Linked DNA regions of Cricetulus griseus. The protein of the gene in region 2 purifies or fractionates together with the protein of the main gene of each other region. This does not show direct contact. Links are inferred from orthologs where the notes say so. Each region holds a gene or a part of one and is shown on either strand. Other genes may lie near its edges.

The links. The genes of interacting proteins can lie anywhere in the genome.
Region 1: the proteins of Phlpp2 (region 2) and Slc9a3r1 purify together in Homo sapiens (co-immunoprecipitation; 3 studies listed by BioGRID and IntAct, with this or other methods). This does not show direct contact. The link is inferred for Cricetulus griseus from reciprocal best matches to the Homo sapiens genes PHLPP2 and NHERF1.

Annotation. Positions count from the first base shown.
Region 1 is NC_048600.1:127,783,075-127,793,762, reverse strand, and holds the end of Slc9a3r1 (Na(+)/H(+) exchange regulatory cofactor NHE-RF1), read right to left. Parts: intron 8,245-10,688; coding exon 8,083-8,244; intron 7,306-8,082; coding exon 7,152-7,305; intron 5,516-7,151; coding exon 5,475-5,515; intron 4,520-5,474; coding exon 4,430-4,519; intron 4,209-4,429; coding exon 4,017-4,208; 3' UTR 3,337-4,016; downstream 1-3,336. Other genes in the region: Nat9 (N-acetyltransferase 9), read left to right, coding at 1-79, 881-940, 1,075-1,178, 1,271-1,507. UniProt on the Homo sapiens protein: Scaffold protein that connects plasma membrane proteins with members of the ezrin/moesin/radixin family and thereby helps to link them to the actin cytoskeleton and to regulate their surface expression. Necessary for recycling of internalized ADRB2.
Region 2 is NC_048596.1:186,237,127-186,247,814, reverse strand, and holds part of Phlpp2 (PH domain leucine-rich repeat-containing protein phosphatase 2), read right to left. Parts: intron 7,180-10,688; coding exon 6,893-7,179; intron 1-6,892. UniProt on the Homo sapiens protein: Protein phosphatase involved in regulation of Akt and PKC signaling.

The sequences.
Region 1 (10,688 bases), on a different chromosome or scaffold from region 2:
TGCATGGTGGGAGATGTGAACCTCTTCCTCACAGATCTGGAAGACCCCACCTTGGGGGAGATCGAGGTCATGATTGCAGGTTTGTCCCACTTGGCCTAGCCAGAACTTCACAGAACTTAGTAGGCGCCCAGGGTAGCTCAGTCAGCTGTGCGCAGCTAGCTCTTGACTGGCAGCTTGCTATCCTGTCCCACACCCAGCATAGTGATTAACCCTTGGGTTCATACTTTCTCCCATATACTTGGTATGAACTTAACCTCTGTGTGTGTGTGTGCGCGCACGCGCGTGCGTGCGCGCGCTCGCGCATGCTCGCATGCCTGCATATGTGCTATTGTTCCGCAATGCCATCTTTTCAGGTTGTGTTTGTTTTTTGTTTTTGTAGTTGTTTTGAGACAGGGTTTCTCATCAGCCTGGAGCTTGCCAAGTAGACTAGGCTGGCTGGCTGTGCTCCCCCAGTACTGGGCTTCAAATGCATGCTGCCACACCTGGCCTTTTTACACAGGTTCTGGGGATCAAACTCTGGTCTTCCTTGTAAGCACTTTACCATTGAGCCACCATCTCCCCATCCCAAAACCGCTGAGTTTCTAGTCTCCAAAACTCCATCTGTTCTATGCTTAGGAGGGGATCCTCCAAAGAGAAGCGATTCAGAAGCTGTGGAGGAGCCCCTTCTGCCTCTGCATCTTTTGGTCCTTTGCTTTTCCCAAGAGCTCCCTGGTGAAGGGAACAGGGGGCTCAGATTGCTGGGAGCCTCATGCCTTCCTTCTCTCACTGCCTGTGCTGTTCTTTTCCGATGGCATACCAGTGACCCAGTGCCTGTAAAGTATACTGGAGCCTGGTCCCTGGTCCCTGGTCCCTGGTCCCAGCACACTGTCCTTTCTCCTAGAGCCCAGCTGCAGGGGCCAGGGCCTTGGCACCGAGGCGTCTCTCCTGATGATGTCCTATGGTAAGCCAGAGTTAATGCAAGTGGGTCAGCCTTAGCTGTGCCTTCTTCGGGCACAAGGGAGGCAGCGGATGGCAGACTGGGGCAGGGGGCTAGAAGAGCGGAGGTTTCATCTTACTGCTTGCCTTCTCCCAATGACTCTGGAGGAGTGACGAAGCTAGGTCTGACCAAGTTTGAGGCCAAAATTGGGCAAGAAAATGAGCCTAGCATCCGGATGTTCCAGAAACTACATTTTAAGCAGGTAAGGGCATCCATTGGGGAGGCCTAGGGAAGTAGAGCTGTTGGTGTTAGAACTCGGCTCTAACACTAGGTCTGCTCTCCGGGCTCCTACAGGTGGCAGTGAGCAACGTCTTCCAGGAGGTGACACTCAGACTGGCAGTGACTGAGGCAGAGCGGCAGTGGCTTCTGGAGCAGACCAGCCACGTGGAGGAGAAGCCCTATAGAGTCGAGTTGGCAGAGCCTGTGGCAGCCACCCTGTGTGAGCAGACCTGGAGCCACCCACTCCCGAGGCCAGACAGCTGCATGGGAGAGTCATGTACAGTGTCTTCAGGCTGCTCCAGACCCTCCTAAGCCCACCTGGGCCTCCTCTGGCTGGCAGCAGCCAGGAAGTCTCCCCGGCCTGATTATGGCTGCACTGAACAGACAGATGGCTGGAGTCCACCGAGGCTAGGGTGGACGTGGGAACTGGGAGCCAGAAAGCCAGCCTTTCCTGGGGTCCCGGTGGAGTAAAACACTCGTTTAGGCACCTTCCCTAGTTCCTTCCTTCATCCTTCTCATGCTGACGGCTGGGGCAGGGTAGCTAAATCCTGGCAAGGATTTGTCAGCTGGCAAGATAGGTGACCTGTGAAGGAGGGGGCTGGCTCTTCTGCCTGCTGGCCTTGGTCCTGCCTTCAGCTTTTTGGAGCCAGACAGGTCTGAGGGGAGGACTTCTGGATACAGCTCCTTGTGTCTGGGGAGCATCCCTGTCAGAGAAGCCTGGAGCCTGCTGCAGGTGAGAGGCCATTGCTCTTCCCCTTCCTGTCAGCTCATTACCCTGTCTCCAGCAGCTGCATCCAACCTGGCCATTAGGGGGCAGCAGAGGCACAGGTTTGGGATGGACAGTCCGCTGGCAAAGTTCTCTAGGGTCTGCAGGAGGGTGTCACATTGTGCGACCCCTCAAGCTTTTGACTTCTAACTGTCCCCATACCCTGTCGTTATCTGAGGTTGTCACCAAGAAAGGCCAGGCATATTTTCAAAACAGCTCTGACAGAGGTTAGAAGTGCATTTGTGAGATGTCTTTGCATAAAGTTTACCAAGACCTCCAGGTCCTGGTCTTGACATCTTTACCCCAGATCGCAAGGGTTAAAACTGGCTCCTTTTGGACTCTGCTCCAGACCTTAGCCAGGAGTTCCGGTCCAGCTTCCAGCCAAAGGTCCCCCACAGCTTCTCCACCCCAGCAGGTGAGGTAGGGAGGGGCTTCTTCAAGCCTTGTGGGGCAATGCTTAGGCCTGCTACACCAGCCTGGGGGCCTCCACCTGGGGTCAAAGGGTAGAAGTGTGGGTGGATGAGGGAGGCCAGGCCCAGCTGAGCAGGCACGTACAAGACGATAGGGACTGTGATAAGGGCTCTGGATGGTTTAAAGCTGCTGGAATCCAGACCTTAATGCTGAGATGGCCAGATAGTGAATGGCCCTTCTCCCAACCCAGAGAGAGGGCTCCAGGGCTTCTCGCCCAGAGCCATTGTCTTCCTCATTTGCTCCTTTCAGCCCAGCAACCTGGTTCTAAGTGGTCTTTCTGTGAAATCAGTGAATGGAGTCACCTCCCCTTCATCTTTGAACACCTGTCCCAGGACCTGGTCCAGCAGTCTGGGTATTCAAGGGCCTCCTGGCAGAAAGGCAATGTGCCCTGCAGCTAAGTGGACCAGTTTTCTCCTGTGCTGCTTATGTGCCTTCCAATCAGGCCATTGGGCAGATAAGAGGGTGTCTGCGGCAGGCTCAGACTGCTGAGAATCCTGTACCCCTTGTGTGTGGGGGTGCGAGCGGGGGTGGGGGGGTGGATGGATGAGGATGACAGCTGGACAGGACAGGAAGGGACAGGACAGGGACAAAAGCCATCCTCACATCCTGAACCCAATTCTGTAGTAGTAAGACTTGTAGCACACATCTAGAATGAGGAGCCTTGGAGCCCTAGCTGTGTGTGGATCTCAGCTTCCCCTTCCCAGTCCCCATACACATCCCTATTGTCCCATGTACCAGGGTGCCCTGACAGAACTGGAGGGCCTTGTGGACTTTTGCGTAGATGAAAAGTCACTCCCGCTTAGAGTTCCAGGGAGCCCTAGATGGTCCTCCAGGAGTACTGCTCACTGCCCACTCTCTTAGACCTGAAGGTATGAGGCAAAGCTCCAAAGGAAGACACACAGGCTCAGGCTGCTTAAAGGAACCAGTGAATTTCTGAAGACATGTCCTTACAGTGGTGGCACCTGGCTCAGTACAGGCAGAGGCTGCCAGGGTTTCCCCGTGCCACCCAGGTCGTTCAGGGTGAGAGTAGAAACCAAAATTTAAGGATGAGGCTGTTGCCATGCTCTGGGTACAAACAACCAGGAAAATCACAAGAATCATTAAAAGAGCCCCTCTAAATTCTGCAGTGCTACACTCTAAAAAAAAAAAAAAAAAATCAAATGGACCTAAGAAGGCCAAACCATAGCTGTGAGGACCTTGGGCACCCTGACCCTTATGAGCAATGGCTGCAACAGTCAAGTCCCTGGTCAGCCCTGGACTTGGTCATCACATGTAGTCGAGGGAGGTCCAAAGGTCCACACTTGGTGCAGGTCCCGGTGATGTCCTAGGCAGACTGGTGGGGGTACACTGGGTAGGATGAAGCCCTCAGGGAGGAGTAAGGGGATGGGACAGAAACCTTCCCCTTCCCTAAGGTGGGCAAGAACAGAATTCCTAGGAAACTCAGATGTGTCAGGAAGGTGTGGGGGGGGGGATGCTGATTTGAATGTTGATTGGTGGGTGATTGGGGGAGGAGGAGGAGCTAGGTTGGGTGGGTGGGTGGGTGTGCTGGTCCACTCTCCAGCGCTGGCCAGGGGTGGCCGGTGTTCAGAGGTTGCTGAACAGTTCATTTTTCTTGCTCCAGTCCATCTGCGGGGCCCGCTTGCTACTGCGCTTCTGGTGGGCCCTCTCTTTAGCCACAGCCAAGGAGATGTTGAAGTCCAAGATGGGGTCGGAGGAGGAGGAGGTAGATGAGGGCTCTGTAGACTCCTGTCTCTTGGGACTGTCTTGGGAATTTAGCTGTGAAAAGGAGGAAAGAGTCAGTGTCTACCCCTAAGGGCTCCCCGGTCCTTGGCCTCAGAGAGGTGGATCCCTTGGGGCCATGGTCAAAGTAGCCAGGTCACAAGAACAAACTGCACCTCCCCATGTGACCTCAAAGGCAGGCTAGTGTGCCAGGAACCAGAGTGGCCTGGAAATGGCTTCCTGTAACTCAGCCACCAGCCCCCACAGGGCCTGCCTACCTCCTCACTGGTATCGCTGGAGGCGGATCTCACCAGGGCTGGCCTGGGGCTCTCTGAGGCTGCCTCTACCAGGGCTTCACGGCTGCTCTCCTGGCACAGAAAGGAAAAAGTATGGGTTGGCAGGGGCTGAGAAAAGAACCCTTACGAGAGAAGGGTCCTCGCTCAGGCTTGGCCACCCACCCAGATTCCAGATTTATCTTGCTGCATTCCTAAAAGGATTGGGGCAGCCTGGTCCCAGCCATCACCTGGGCGGGGGCGGGACTGTGGAATCTCTCATCCTCCCCAGCGCTTTTGAGCTTTTGAGCGCTGACTCATTTTTTTTGGATCAGCAACCCAAGAGGGGCTTCTTGGAGCACAGGACCACCAAGGTCCTCCTGTTAGGCATGAGGAGCATATACAATCCCTTAACCTCTTGCAGCCCTCTCCAGGTCCTAACCCCAAAGTAGCCAACCAGGGTCTTTAGGGAATAAGATGACAGAAAGTTCTAGAACCAAGGATGGGTGGCAAAAGGTGGGGACCATGGCTTGATTCTTGTCTCCACTAGGTCCCTGTGGAGTAAGGAAGCCTTCAAAGTGCTCTTGCCAACTCCAGGCTCTGTGGTCTGATTCTGAGACAGCCCATGCCAGAGTAGAGGTTTTGGCTGGGCGTGAGCCTGGCACTCAGCCCCTTCCTGGGTCCTTCCATGGCCTCAGCTGGCTCCCAGCCTCACCCCCTTCCCTTCTGCCCAAGGGGAGGGACTTTGTTCTTCCAACTCAGACTGGAAGTAGCAGGACCAACAGCCAGACACTGAGGCTCTGTTCTTGGGGGGAAGAATGGCCTCTTCTGTATGGTGGGAGTTGGAGGCGGGGGCTGCCGAGGGGCCCCAGGCAAGCCTTTCCCAAGTGATAGCCTTACCCCTGACGGGCTGGGGTACCCTGGCAGTCCTATGGATTGGAGCTCAGGAAGAAACTGGAACTGGACCCTGATGTGTCAGCCTGAGCCAGACTCCCAACCATGCTGCCACTCTCCCTGTCCCCATTGAGAAGTGGGTAGAGGACCCCCTTACCTTCTGTATCTCTCCATTGGTGAAGGGCTCAGGCAAGGGGCCTAGATGAGGGAGACAGCAAAGGTCAGTCTAAAGACTTTGGGGAAGGAGAGCAGAGGAGGCCAGAGCTATGCCCTGGGCAGCTCACCAGACCTCATACTGGAGGTCAAAGGCCACAGTGTTTTTGGCTGAAACCTACTGTATGTAATTTGACATTTTGATGACCCAGTGCCCAGAAAGATTGTTTGACAATTTCAGAAAACAAGACCCCACTACAGTGCCATACTTTGGTATTTTCAACTACAACTTACTCTTACAATGTCTCATTTGGCAAACTGGAGGAACTTTTTTGGGTGTGTGCATAGGAGGATCACACTTGAGGAGGGCTACTTGATGCTGACTGGCAACTTGTGATAGACAAGACAGCTCCCTTTAACAGTAATACTTGGTGCAGTGCTGGGGGCCAAACACACAGCCCTCCGTATACTAATTAGTGCTCTACCACTGAGCTACCTTTCTGGGCCTAGCTTGACATCTGACCCAGAATGCCAAGATGCCAGGCTTGCAGGAGCGCTAAGATGGGATGGAGTTCTAGGGTAGCCAGTCAAAAAACAGATCACCTGTGTGTGGCCAGAGAGATGGCTCAGTGGTGACCTGATTACCTGAGTTGGATCTCCAGGACCCAGATGGTAGAAGAGAGAACTGACCTCCACCCACATCCACCCTAGGGCAGGGCTGGGCCTTGGTATTCACACCTCTCAGGGGCTGAAGGCAGATTTAGGGCCACACCTCAGATTATATAGCTGGCACCTGCTGCCTTGGAAAGACAATAATGGCAACTGTCTGGCATCTGGAAATGAGGGGACAAGGAGGTGCAAAGGCAATGTCCTGAGCAGAGTCAGGAGAGGCCAGTGAGAGAGAAAGTCAGCCCCCGGCTTTCGGCTTGGGGGAAGGCTGGTCCACCTCCAGAGACTAGTGAAGATGGTGTGGTGCCTCTGTATATTAGGTTCTGAGACCCGTGAATCCTCCACACTGCATCCGCCTCGGAGATCTGAGCTATGTGAACCCATTGCAAAGTCCAGACAGGTTTCACTTTCGGCATAGCACAACAGAGCACACTTCCAGAGCCATCTTCCCAGGCAGAAAGTCTGGACTAAGGAGTAGGGGTGCTCAGCCCCTCCTGCTGTGTGGTGTGGTGTGGTGGCCCTACTCACTTTGGCTTGGCTTGAACAGGAAGAGGTGCCAGGCTTGGCAAGATGAGAGTGGGGGAGGGGGAGAGGGCAGGGGCCCAGGGACTGAAGGGGACCCACTACTCTCCAGAGCCAGCAAGCCTGAGTTTCCAAGGCAACTTGACAAAGGGGGAGGGGAGCACTGGGCCCCTGTCACTGGACTCTGATCTGCCCAGCAAAGGCTGGAGGCTGCTCCAGAGTTAACTCTTTCCTCTCAGAGGGACCGTCAGTCTGAGAACTCACTGGACTAGGGAGAGGCCCAGGCCGTGCTTGGTACTGAATCTCATCCCTCCTTCATGTTAATTGTGGTTAATTACCATCAGCTGCCACCTTTAGACGCTCATGGCCCATCCCAGCTTCTACTCTCCTCCAACCTGTGCTATTGGGTCTCTCCTTACAATCCGAGAAGCTACCCCCCATTTCTGGCCAAGTCTTAGGCACTTGGCCACACACCCAGCTGTGCACTCACCATCCAGGTGTTCCTGTGACGGGATCACTTTGCACTTCTTGAAGAACTCATCAGTCTCCTTGTCTACCACCAGCAGCTTGGCCTCATCCCCTCCAGCCTTGATGGCAGATACCACGTCCCCATGCTGCTTGCCCTCCATGCAGACACCATTGACCTGTGAGGCAGGGCAGGGACGGGGGTCACCCACACAGGTCTCAGTGCTGGGGAGGGCAGGTGGAAGAGGTCCCACCCGGGAATGCTGAATCCCCACATGTGCCTAGTCCCGAACCCAGCCAGCCAGCAGTTCTCTGACAGTCAGTTGGGAAGCAAGACAAATGGGAAGCGCCAAAGAAAATACCCAGAGGAGACTATGCAAACACAGCTGTGAGCAAGGGGAGGCCTGGGAGCCCGGGCTGGGCTCTCCTCTGACCTCCCTCTCTGGGCCTTGGTTTTCTCACGTGTAAAGTGAGAAGTCTTGGAAGAGCTGATCTGTGGCTCTAAGGTTCTCACACTGTGATTCTGGGACCAGCCCAAGCATTTAGTTCACATTTCCTCTGTCGTGAGCACAGCCGAAGAACAGTGTCTCAAAGCTGAACTCAGGAGAGGGTGTTGGGTCCATCCTTGTGCCTGGCCCAGAGTGCTCAGGCATCAGGAAGGCCGTGCTGGTGGCCTCTGGCATCTACCTGGATTTTGGCAGATAAATCCTGGGTGTAGAGTGTGCATTTGGTAAAGCAGAACCATTAAGCCTGTCTAGTCCCATTTACCACTTAGCACCTATCCTTTCTGTGCCTCTACTCTACCTGTGCAGCTGCCCACCGTCCAGCACCTCTGTCTGCACTGCCCACATCCCATGGGTTAATCAAACCACAGACGGTACGAGGCTGCCCCCAAGCAGCAAAGATCAGGAAGGAAGAGCCTGGGAGAGTACAGAGAATGTTGTACAGGGTATCACCTCCACAATGCGGTCTTGGGCTCGGAGTCCAGAGGCCTCTGCGGGGGAATCTGGGTCCACTGCTCGGATGAACTGGCCTGGCTTAGACTTGTCGCTGTGCAGGTTGAAGCCATAGCCATTGGGGCCTTTCTTCATGGTGCAGAGCCGAGGCCGGAGCTCACGCTGTGGGGATGTAGGAAGCAGCCATGTCATTCCACAATGTCCCAATACCACCTTCTCCAACTCCACTCTCCTCCAGTGGTGATTGGAGCCCACAGAGCAAGGCAAGAGAATCTGGCCCAGGGTTCAGATATGAATAGACACTTAGCACTGAAGTAAGCCGACTGGCTCTGGGTGAGCCACCGTCTTGCCTGGGCTAGGTTCCCTCCTGGATTCTACTACTCATGTGTTTGGTCTTATCCTTTTCCACCCACGGCTCATCTGGTCCTCCTAGGCCTGGCTGGGCACCTGAGACTCATGAGTGGGCACCTGGCCCCTGTATCTGTTCTCTGTTGTGAGAGCATGGATAGCTGTTTACTGAAAGCTGGCCAGTTTGTTTACAGTAAAGGTTTTCATCTCTAGTGGGCTCCCTCCTCGACTCCAGTGAGCCAAATGGCCCAGCCAAATGTGACCCTGATAACCTGAAACCCAGCAGGTGGCTGGGGGAAGAGTCCTGGGGTAGATGGGACTTTTAGCTCTAGATCCAGCCAAGGATATAGGGAGCAACAGAGGTGTGTGTGTGTGTGTGTGTGTGTGTGTGTGTGTGTGTGTGTGTGTGTGTCTAATCCCCCAAGGATTCATATGGGGAGGAGACCATGAAAGAGGGCTGGGCCAATGTGGTCAGACCGTGGCCTGGAAAGCAGGGCCTGTTACTTTTTGGGTTGTTGATTTTTTGTTTTGTTTTGTTTTGGAGACAGGGTTTCTCTGTGTAACTCTGTAGACCAGGCTGGTCTCAAACTCTGAGATCTGCCTGCCTCTGCCTCCTGGGTGCACCACCACCGCCTGGCCTCTTCCTTTTAACAGTATTTATTTATTTAGTGTGTGTGAGAGAGAGCATGAGTATGACATAGCCCACAAACGGGGTTAAAGGGCAACTTGTGAGAGTTGGTTCTCTCCTTTCACAATTGGGAGTCAGGTCATCAGACTTGGTGGCAAGTGCCTTGACCCACTGAGCCATCTCACCGCCACCCCTCTTTCCCCTGAAAGACATAAGCTAGTGTCTTTTGTGCACCCTGGCATTAGCTGGGACAATTTCAATATCTTCCGTCCTCTTTGGGCAGCTCAGCTCTGAAGCTACAGTCTTGATGCTTTCATGACACAGGCTGACAGATGGACAGACACTGGACACGAGCCTACAGAAGCTGGAGGCTCTGCAAGCCCTACCCGAGCTCCACCCTGACCCCAACTCCAAGCCTGGGGCAAGCCTGTTCTCCACTGGCTGGAACCCTAGTTGCCACCTACCCTATGGGGCAACAAAGTGCTCCTACTAGCTTGTGACTTGGGGCGAATCATTTCCATTTCTGGGTCTCAGGGTCTTCCTTTCTAGAGGTGTTTATTGCTACCTGCTTCTCTGGGTTGCTGCTGAGGCCCAATGACACAGTATAAAGCCACACTTTGAACTTCCCAGTGCCTGCCCAGACCTGGATGTTGCCATTGTTCTCACTAAGTCCCCAAGCATACCAGGACTTTGCCATTGTTCTTGCTACTAAGGAACAAGCATGTAACTCTGAGATACTACTGGGTTGGGGAGGGTAGTGGCTAGATTGCTCTGAAACCCAAATCCTCAGCTGGGGGTACAAAAGGCAAGGGAGGGGAAGAGGAGGGAGGAGTAAAGGGAAAGCTTTGGGGCCTCCAGCCTCACCTTACCAGCATTGCCATCCCAAAGAAGAGATTGCTGGTTGGGGTAAGGTACTTGCTGCCAAGCTCAGCCCGAGTTTGCTCTCCAAGACCCACAGGGTGGAAAGAGAGAAGTGACTCCCACAGGTTGTCCTATGACCATGGCACTCCCACCCCACACAACATAATACATATGTTCACACAGTAAATTTTAAAGATGTAAAAAAAAAAAAAAATGCTTGGGCAGGCTTTGTGTACCTGTGTTCAGGATGTTGGTGAGGAATGTAAAGAGTCCAGAAGACAGAAGGTGACAGTCGGGATTTTCCATAGTGGTTACTTACCCAGATCCCAGAGACCCCTCACCTCAAACAGCAAAGACAACCAAATGAGTAGCAAAAAGAGGGTACCACAGGAGGCCCCTCCTTCCCTCAGCCTATCCAGCCCTTCACCTGCTGTGACCTAGCCCCTCCAGGAGCCCACCCCCACCTCCAGAACCATGTAGTTCCGGGAGTGAGGAGTCTCTTCCTTGCAGCTAATCCCCGCACAAAGCTGCCACAGGCCCTCCCCCAGGCTGCCTAGGTGAGCTGAACAGGTCTGACGAGTTGCTGCCACCAGGACAGACGGGCTCAGCTTTCTACCTTAGCCACACACCTCCTCTGGCCCTCAGTGTGTGGAATCCCAGCTTGCCTTCCACTCCCCCCGCCCCCCCCAGGATTCCCTTTCCCCAGACTTCCCACAGCAGCCTGGCTGAAGCTGGTTAGCTGTTTTTGAGACAGGGAAATTACAACACA
Region 2 (10,688 bases):
TATACAACAAAGTTTTGATGACCTATAAGAAATCACTCAGCAATGACAGAAAGATTAGAATTCAGGGGCCCAAATCTCTCCGGCGTTATCTTCTGCTATAAACATCCTATTAGAGTTTACCTTAAAAAGATGGCTATCAAACACTTGACCTCTTAGTCATTTGATCACTAAAAATAAAAGCAGATATAAGGCAGAGAGTCAAAGGGCAACCTTTTTATTATGTATGCTCATATTACAACTTTTCAGACTAAAGGGAATGATTACACTAAGCTTCACTGATGAGTCATTTGCTGCTTAAACAGCTCAACAGAAAAAGGCCAGGTCAAACAACACAAGGTAAAGATTGGACTGAGAGGGAAATATTTTTGTACCAAATGCAGCTTTGCCAGTGAACTACAGGAACATACATCCAAACCTAACTCTCTCAGCCTCTTCACACTTACAAAACAAAAGGAAATAAATGCTTTCACTGACTCTCATTGGGAAGTTCCTGGCTTTGGGAACAAAATAATTTGTTGTGACATACATTTGAGATATTAAACTTTTCTATTGCTTCCCCCCCAAACACTGGTATAACTTCCCAGCAGTTGAGACAACCAAAAAGCCCTGCCCCAACACAATGGATATGAGGGTGCTATTTGGTTGGGCACCCTTGTTTCTTTCATTAGTAAATGACCTCTTAAAGGTTCCTTCAAATGCTACAATCCTGTAAATTTGTAACTCTTTTAGTATACTGAGTCGCAGCTGTCTTAGTCCCTGTTCTATTACTGTGATGAGATACCATGACCCACTCTTTTGTTTTTTTTTTTTTTAAGATTTATTATGTATACAGTGTTCTGTCTGCATGTATCCCTGCAGGCTAGAAGAGGGCACCAGATCTCATTACAAATGGTTGTGAGCCACCATGTGGTTGCTGGGAGTGAACTGGGGACCTCTGGAAGAGCAGCCAGTTGCTCTTAACCTCTGAGCCATCTCTCCAGCCCCCTGACCAACTCTTATAAAAGAAAGAATTTAACTGGCAGTTTGCTTACAGTTTCAGAGGTTCAGACCATTATCATGATGATGGGGAACATGGCCACATACAGACTGGTGATGGAGCAGCAGCTGAAAGCTACATTCTGATTCATAGGCACAGAGAGACTCAGGCCTGACATGGGCTTCTGAAACCTCAAAGTCCACCCCCAGTGACATACTTCCTCCACAAAACCACACCTCCTAATCCTTCTAATCCTTTCAAATAGGGCCATTCCCTGGTGAATAAGTGTCAAATATATGAACCTGTGGAGGCCATTCTTATTCAAACCATCACATAAGCCCATTATTGGAAGAAGAAAACAGTAAACTAAATAAACAAACAGAGTGAGAGGGAAATACTTTTTCCAAGTTACAAGCAGTGGTTTAGCTAGTGCATATTACTTCTAAGAGTTGAGTGATTTGAAACAACCTACATAGCACAGGCTGGGAAAATAGCTCAATGGCTGAGCACATGCTTAGCACACATGTAGCCCACGCATGAGTACTGATCAGGTGGTACCAGACAACATTCCAAGTGCTTTATTTCATTGATACTTACAGTGCTGTGCATCACTTAGGAGTTTAGTAGGGCTACAATCTCAAAAGTCAAGAGTGGTGATGAATACCTGTGACCCCAGCACTCAGAAGGCAAGGCTGAGGCAGGACTGCCATGAGCTAAAGGCTACAATGAGCAACAGAGAGTACCTGGCCAATTAAGACTACATAGAAAATCCTATCTAACAAAAACCAACAGATCAAACAAATTAGAAGTATGATCTCAGACTATCCTATATCTTCTGAATCACAATCTATATTTTTAACAAGGTTCCTAGGAGGAACTATTAAAGTGTTACAAGTAATTCACCACTTTTCATAGCAGGTGCAATGGATTTAATCCTCATGATAAACAATGAAAACATTCTCCATTCTACAAACCCTAAGACACTGAACATTATGTACATATATGGTAAATTGTCAGGGACAAGATTTGAATCACACTTTTTCATTCCATAATCCAAACTAAGCCTCTACTATATATTAAATTTCAATTATTTTTTCAGTTTTGGAGATAAAGTCTCAGGCAGCCCAGGCTAGGCTCCAACTTCATATTTAGTTAAGGGTGACCAGGAAATCTTATCTTCCTGCCTTCACCTTCCAAGTACTGGTATCACAATTGTGAGCCAACACACCCAGCTTTACTGGGGAAGGGGTGGGGAGAGCTGGGTGATGGTGGGGTACACCTTTAATCCCAGCACTTGGGAAGCAGAGGCAGGCCGATCTCTGAGTTTGAGGCTGGCCTGCTATGCAGAGTGAGTTTCATGAGGGCCAAGGCTACACAAAGAAAAACTGTATCAAACAACAACTGTGGTGATATCTTACTTTTACAAATAAAGCCTGTCTGAAGGTTAGAGAATAGAACTTGCCACTAGCTGACCAAAGAAGTCTGGAGGTCTGTACAGACAGACAGGAAGTTAGGTAGCTGTCCAAAAACAGGATATAAGCAGGGAGAAACAGCAACTTGCTCTCTTGTCTGCTGAGACGCTAAGGTGTGGTGGTGGTTTGCTCTTTCTCTCTGATCTCTCAGCATTTTCCTCTATATCTGACTCCGGGTTTTTATTACTTAGACCAATTAAGAACTCCATTTACAAACAACAAAACCAAAAAAAAAAAAACAACAAAAAAGCAAAAACTGTTTTAGTGCATATGTGTATATACACATCATGGTATGCATGTCTACTATGTGAGTACCAGGGATCCAATTTGTCAGGCTTGGCAGCAAGTACCTTTACATGCTGAGTCATCTCCCTTCCCCCCAGTACTCAATTTTTAAACAACTTATAATATACTTGTAATATAGAATAGCCTTAAACTATTAAAACTCGTGTCTAAAGTCAAATTCTTAATAACAATAAAATTAAGATGATCTTATACTAAAAGAATTATAAGGATATAAAATTGGATATATGATATGAGCTCAAATATGCAATTATTAAAACGTATGTGTGTGATTGTAAATTATTTGGTGAAAAATAAAAGTTACCAATATAAGTTGTGAGGATGGGATCTCATACTCTAGTAGAATGCCAGGGTTCAAACTACAGTTCAAACACTTTCTGGCTGATCACTCTTAGCTAAGAGTAATCTCTCAGATATCACTTACTATGCCTACACAAAAGAAACAGTTTCCTTCACAAGACTGGATTTAATGAGGTAATCTACATAAAGCATACACAGCGAATATTATTATTTTTCTTTATGCTGTTTCATTTTCCAGAATTTCTTCAACAAGCAGTGATCAGTAGGAAAGGTTCTCAAAAAAACAATACTGCCTCAGCGATTACCAACTACTTTACCAAGGGCTACTCTGAAGAAAGGACCTACTCCTGATTAGATAATAGAAGACCAACTCAAGCAATTAACCACTAAGTTAGAAGAGATCTAATGAGGCAAACATGATTAGGCAGTAAAACTGGATAAGGGGAGTTGCTTTGCCAGCTCCTCTCCTCCAAGACCTTTTACTCTGAAGGAAGTCCATCAGTCATTTCAACTGTCTAGCAGTATCTGCCTGACCTTGGGCTGGTCATTGAACCATCTCAAAGCATCAATTTTCCTCACATGAAAGGAAGAAGACTACATCAAAGTTCTTGTAAAGATGTGATGAGAAAATGAATATATGCTAACAGCACCAACTAGCACAAATAAGCACTTAAAGTTAGTTGAGACCAGGAAGCCTCTTCCTCCTCCTCAAATGTCAAGTCTGGAGCTCTTACTCCAGTAATGAAAGCATACCCATTCTATCCATCCAGAGTTCAACAGTGTTTTCAGTATTTTCTAATAAACTGTATCTTCAAAGAGATACACTTCACTATTAATTATCAAAACTACAGGGCTAACAAAAGATAAACATTCCACCTTAATTACAGTTTACATTCTCATATGTAAATAAACTATATCACATTCAAATTCTTAACTAATTACACAACTAGTGGGAACAAAGTAATGAGGGGTGTTTCTTCACATTCATGGCATCTTCTAATGCAAATATTAGTAAATGAGTAAGTCATCTGCCTAAATAAGTGAGCACCATCCATCACTACCTGCTATAATCTAGGTCAAGGCTTTCCAACTGATAAAATTAGATCAGACCAGTATTAAGATTTAGAAGAGCCTAAGGATCACCAGTCTGATCCTTTTGTTTCACAAAAGGATTTAGGAAATGTAGTTAACTTGGGAACAGAGAAAACATTCAAATGCTAAGCTACTTTTTTCAGGATTTCCTACAGATCCTAAAAGGAATACACAGTAAACCTCAGTTCACACTTTTAAAGAGGCATCAGCTTTTGGCTCAGCTAAAGGTGTTACTACTATTATCACACCTCTGAGGTGTGATTAGCTTCACTTCCCCACCACACTTCAATAATGCTCAATCCACAGCTTGGAATTCTTTCTAGGAAGGACAGAAAAGTGTAATGAAACATTTACAGGACTAATGCTTTTGTTTTTAAGTTGAATTAAAAAGTTCAGATGCACAGCACAAAACTACAAGACTATTTTTCTTCATATTTATATAAAAATTTATGACACAAACTACTTTTAAGCTTGTGTAATATGCTCAAATTCACTAATTAATAAATACTAACACAACAGAATGGCAAAAATGCCTATTTGAGCCTGTTATGGTGCCCACCTTTGACCCCAGCATTTGGTAGAAGAAGGATGGATCAGGAATTCAAGGCCAGTTTCAGCTATACGAGACTCTGTCTCAAAAACAAACAAAAAACTTCCTATTCAGCTCCAAAAAGGCTTGGAAAATGATTGTCTTTGAAAAGTTGACTTCATGATTCTCTAATTTTAAAACAAAGGCTAGAGGCATAGTTCAGTATACAGTGCTTGTCTAATATGGTTGAGGTCTTGGGTTTAAACCCAGAACCTTAAGTAAATAAAGTATCAAACAAAAACTGATAACTATGATCCTTTATAAGCAGGTTCAGCTCATTCAAGAGTATGTGTCTGCACTTACAGAAGACACTTAATGCTACCTGGTGGTGCTTGTGCATGCCTTTGATCCCAGCACTGGAAACCACCATGTAGGTGCTATGAAAAGAACCTAGATCCTCTGGAAGAGCAACCAAATGCTCTTAACTGCTGAGCAATCTCTCTAGCCCCATATTTTTTTATATTTTAGATGGAAATATAACCTCTATGAAGAAGTTGGAAATATTTATCAAAATTATAAATGGTCATATCCTTTGACCAAGAATATTATACTTCTAGGGGCTTACCCTCCAGAGACTCCTCTGTGAGATAGCAGGTACAGAGGAATTCAACCATGGCACTATCTGCTGTGCTAAAAACAGGTAGCAGGTTAATATCCATAATGAGAGATTAGGAAGATCAACTAAAACTATGGTGACCTATAAAGTAGAATAGTCATGTAGTCAGTAAATAAATTATATTTATATAAATATGAATATGGAAATACCTTTCAGCTATTAAGTCAACAGTGTTTTGTATACAGCATCATTGCTTTTAAAGTGTGGATGTAGAGGCACGAGCATGTGTATGCTTGAATGTATAAGAACCTGACAGTAACAATGAAAAGGCCTGGACAGCTAGGGAATGGTGGACAGAGAAGGACTTTTTACTCTGTACCCTTTGTACACTTCAGTTTTTTTCTAGTTATACTTCCCCAAAAGGTAACTATTAAAATGTTTAAATTTGTATATAAGACCTACAGTGTATTCCAAATAGAAGAACCATCAAGCTTTCCTTCATTATAGTGTTAAACTCGAGAATCATAAACTAAGAGACTGGGACAATCCTCGTTGTGTAAAGTATCTACCATGTAAGCAAGAGGATCTGAGTTTGGAGCCCCATCACCCACACACAGGCCAGGTGTGATGACTGACGTGTGCCTGGAACACTAGTACTATGGGGCACAGACTGGCAGATATCCAAGGCTCATGGACCAGTCAGTCCAGCAGTTGTCAAAAAACAGGGACTGGAGAGATGACTTAGCAGTTAAGCACACTTGCTGTTCTTCCAGAGGACCTAAGTTAGGTTCCCAGCACCCAGTCAGGCAGCACCTGTGCACAAGCACACATACAAACACGTACACCTAAACATAATTAAAAATAAAAATAAATCTTCAAGGGCTGGAGAGATGCCTGTTCTTCCAAAGGTCCTGAATTCAATTTCAAGAAACCGAATGGTGGCTCACAACCATCTGTAATGAGATCTGGTGCCCTCCCCTGGCCTGCAGGCACACATGCAGACACTGTATACATAATACATTTAAATTAGAAACAAGCTTCTTTTACATGTCAATCTCAGTTCCCTCTCCCTCCCCTCCTCTCCCCTCCCCATCCCAACCCCTTTCTTCTCTCAGGGACGGTGAGGCCTTCCAAGAGGGATCTTTAAAGTCTGTCATCATAAATAAATCTTTTTAAAAAATCTTCAAAAAGAGAGGAAAACATGTGACCTAAACCGCTGGCTGGCCCTCTACAAGCACATACATAAACATGTGGATACACTACAAACAAAATGGTAATTTTTAAAATCATTAAGTATTCCAAGGGCAAATCTTGTTCGTGCCAGTGACTCCAAATCACCATCAGTTACAGAATGTGATCATAACCCTAAAGCCCACTTCCAATCAGAAACACGGGTTACTAATCCTACAAAAGAATCACTGTCAAGACTCAGAGCTAAGCTCAGCTCAGTGTAATAGTACATGCCTATAATCCTAGCACTTAAGAGGCTGAAGCAGAAGAACTGTGAGTTTGAGACGACCATGAGGCACGGGACACGGGACGGATGGACCACTCTTGACTCAAAACATCAATAACAAAAAAAGGACAAAAGCCCCAGACCTCACCTGACCAGGTCTCCATGAAGCTGTAGATAGAGACTTTCTCTTCCCTCTCCAGCACATATTTCTGATGCTGGTGTCTCTACTGTGCAAAGGACAAGATGTAAGTCAGAAGAGGAGGAGGATGTGGAGGAGGAGGAAGAGGTGGTGTTTGTAGTGGCAGTGGTCGTGTCTGCTCCATAAAGGTAAACACAGCCTCTCTTCACGTCTTCTCTCAGCCAGTCTCTTTCTCGAGAACCAAACCTACTTCTTCTATTCAAACAATTTCTGCTCCCATTGTGTTTCATATTTCTCTAAAAATACCAAGAGAAAGAAATCATAAATAAGAACATTTGTCTGAATTACATGTATTCAGTCCATATACTCATCCCTGTGTAGTGGCTAATCTTCGTTGTCAACTTGACTACATCTAGAATTAACTAACACCAAGATGCCGGGTACTCCAATAAGGGATCTTCTTAAACAGATTAACTGAAGTAAGAAGACCCACCCTAAATCTGGGTCTCAACTCGTGGCAGTCCTCATAAAAGGACACGGAAGAAGGAAACTTTCCTTTTGTCTATCAGCAAAAGCACATTGCTGGCAAGTTTGTCTACCCTGTTCCTGTGGCTGGTATTAAATACAACTTCTTCAGGGTTCCAGCATACTAAAAACCAGCAGCTCTTCAGGAATCTTCCCAGACTCCAGCACCAGACTGGGACTGCTGAAACACCCAGACTCCTGGGCTCAAACAACTACCAGTTTCTCAGCCTTTCATTGAGAGACAGTCATTGTTGAACTATCGGCACTATATAATACCAATATATAATAATCCATCTAACAAATCCCCTTTAATATCAGTTTTATCAGCTCTGTTCCTCTAATACACCTCCTTTAGGCCTCCATCCATCATCTCGTTTGAACCGTTTTTGTTTTCAGGAAAGTGCTAACAAAATGGACATACTACTTGCCTTGGGAAAAATTTTAACATTTTAACTTATTTAGTTCAAATCTACACACACACACACACACACACACACACACACACGCTTGATATGGTATTCAGGGAAGCTGGGAACTTTTAGGGGGTAGAGACTAAGCTGGCAGATACAGCTCCCTGGAATGGGTCTTTTAAGGTTATTTCACTGTATAGTCTTTGGGTCTGGTTAATTTTGATATATGATGTTTTTCTTTATTTCCAAAGTATTTTTAGTTAGTAAAAAATAGAAATAATAGTTACTAGTTCACTTCAGATTGAATCTGATACATATAAACTAAGACTTGCACACAAATACAGACTTTCTCAACCTCACAGTCCAAATAAACGAATGCAGCACTAAGAACAGTCTCATAACACAAATATCTTTGCCATTCCCGGCATGCTTCAAAACAATTACTGCTAGTATTTTATAACCACAGTATGAGAGATTCACATACATACTGTGAAGTCAAGCTATCTTAAAGCAAAACACTGTTAGGCGCCAATATAAAAATTTCCATCAGGCATGGTAAGGCATACCTATAATCCAGCAGTCAGGCCAAAGAGCAAGGAGGATTTTTAGAGTGTAAGGACAACTTAGCCTAGGTAAGTTCCAAGGCAGCCTGGACCACATACTGAGACTATTTCAAAACACAAACAGAAATGAAACAAACAGTTTCTAAAAGTCACCATTTGCCTGTTATTTTCACAATGGGTCATTTCTAGTCAACAAAAAAATAAATCTCCACTGACTTCCTAGACCCTTTGCTGTTTCGGTCCTCTCTCCCTGAGCACACTAACCATTCCACCACTCTGTGGCATAAGTAGCACATCTTCTCCATCTTATCCACATGCTCTTACTCTCCAAACCTCTGTTGAGATGTCAGGTTCTCTTTGGAGCCATCTGCAGCTCTCACCCATGTCTAGCATCAATGGTTCTCCTCTCAAGAGAAATCTTCACCTTGAATATACTTCTACTATACCCATATGACCATGAATCGTAATCATTTGGTTTCTCAATCTCTTCACCACCGAGACCCTTGAAAGTTTTTCTTGCAGAATGTCAGGCCCAGGTGACAACACAGGAATTGATACCCAATCTGCATTTTAGCTTCATCAATTAGCTATGATGCAGAATTGAATAAACTTAAAAAGAAAGTATCAATTTTTGTAACAAACCATCTAATCTTTACCTAAAAGTCAAAATAAAGAAAAACACTTTCACTAGTATTCCTCATTAGAAAACAGAAATACATATAAACAAGAAAATATTAGTTTGAGAGTAAATACTTCAGAATAACTGTAAACTAAGCCAGGCATGGAGATACATGCCTGTAATCCCAGATGCTAGATACTGGAGAGTCAGAGGCAAGAGGATCAAGTTCAAGACCAATGTGGTTTCATCAGTAAGCAGTAAAAATAAGGGTAAGTAAACAGGTATCCTACATGTGATGAATTTAAAACAAGGGGACGAATGCCCTTACAGTTTCAATTTAGGATAACACAGGTAAATTAGCTTTTGAAAAACAGTCTTAGGGATTGAACACAAGCTTTGACATACCAGATAAGCTCTCTACATCTGAGTAACACTTTCAGCCCTAAACATATCTTTCTGCAGCTCTTCAAGATCTTATAACTATTCAAACCCATACAGAATAAAGCCCTGACACAGGTGGGAATGAGGCCTCTTTTCCTACCAAATGCATCCTCCATGCTGAATCTCAGCTTAAATGTCTCAGAATCAATAAAGAGGGCTTTCAAGTGCTCATCTCAAACATATGAGAGCCATCGTGTTATACCACTAAGAAATTATAACCACTGAATAGTTAACTACCAGATAATTTTGAGTAAGTCTTATTTTCTAATTTTTAATGGAGACTAACAGGTTCTATGTGACAGAGTAACATTTACACAAAGAGACTCTGCGCCCCACCCTTAAAAAAAAACGAAAAGTAAGCAGACACAATCCACATACCACTGACACGACTGGCTTTTTAAAAGCCAAGCATAATGCACATACCTGTAATGCCCAAACTTAGGAGCCTGAGACAGGAAGACCGAGACCAGGCAGACCTAAAAAGTGAGACCCTGATACAAAAATAACAATAAAAATATAAATGTAGGGCTGGAGAGATGGCTCAGTGGTTAAGAGCACTGCCTGCTCTTCCAAAGGTCCTGAGTTCAATTCCCAGCAACCACATGGTGGCTCACAACCATCTGTAGTGAAATCTGGTGCTCTCTTCTGACTCAGACATACATGTAGGCAGAACACTGTGTACATAATAAATAAATAAATCTTTAAAAAAATATATAAATGTAGGTCAAATAATGACCCATTGACCTTCACGGTCTTAGAAAAGTCCAAAAGGTCCCCAAAGTATTATGAACTTTCTTCCAAGGATTGTTTGTTTGAGATGAAGGCTCATGCACCCCATTTTGGCCTCAAAATCATTCTGTAGGTGAGGCCAGCCTTGACTTTTTATCCTGCAGACTCCATCTCCCAAGTGCAGGACTATAATGTATGCCGCCACATCAGCACCTTCCAGAGGATTTCAGCAATCATGTGTAAATGTGCACATATATTCCTTTAAGACTATGAATTTCTTGAAGAACTTTATGTTATCAAAACACATGTGTTTGTTGGTCATTTCAAGATCTATCTCTCATCTGCACCTCACCAATAGCCATTTAAAAGGCCTTGAGAAAAAGCAAAGCAAAGACACACAGCAACAATAACAAAGATAGACTGTTGGGCTATTATTAGCACTGCTAAATTACCTAGTACTTCCTTCTCAGGAATGTCTTGCTCTACTGACTAACACATGAGGAACTGCTGGAAAGAAC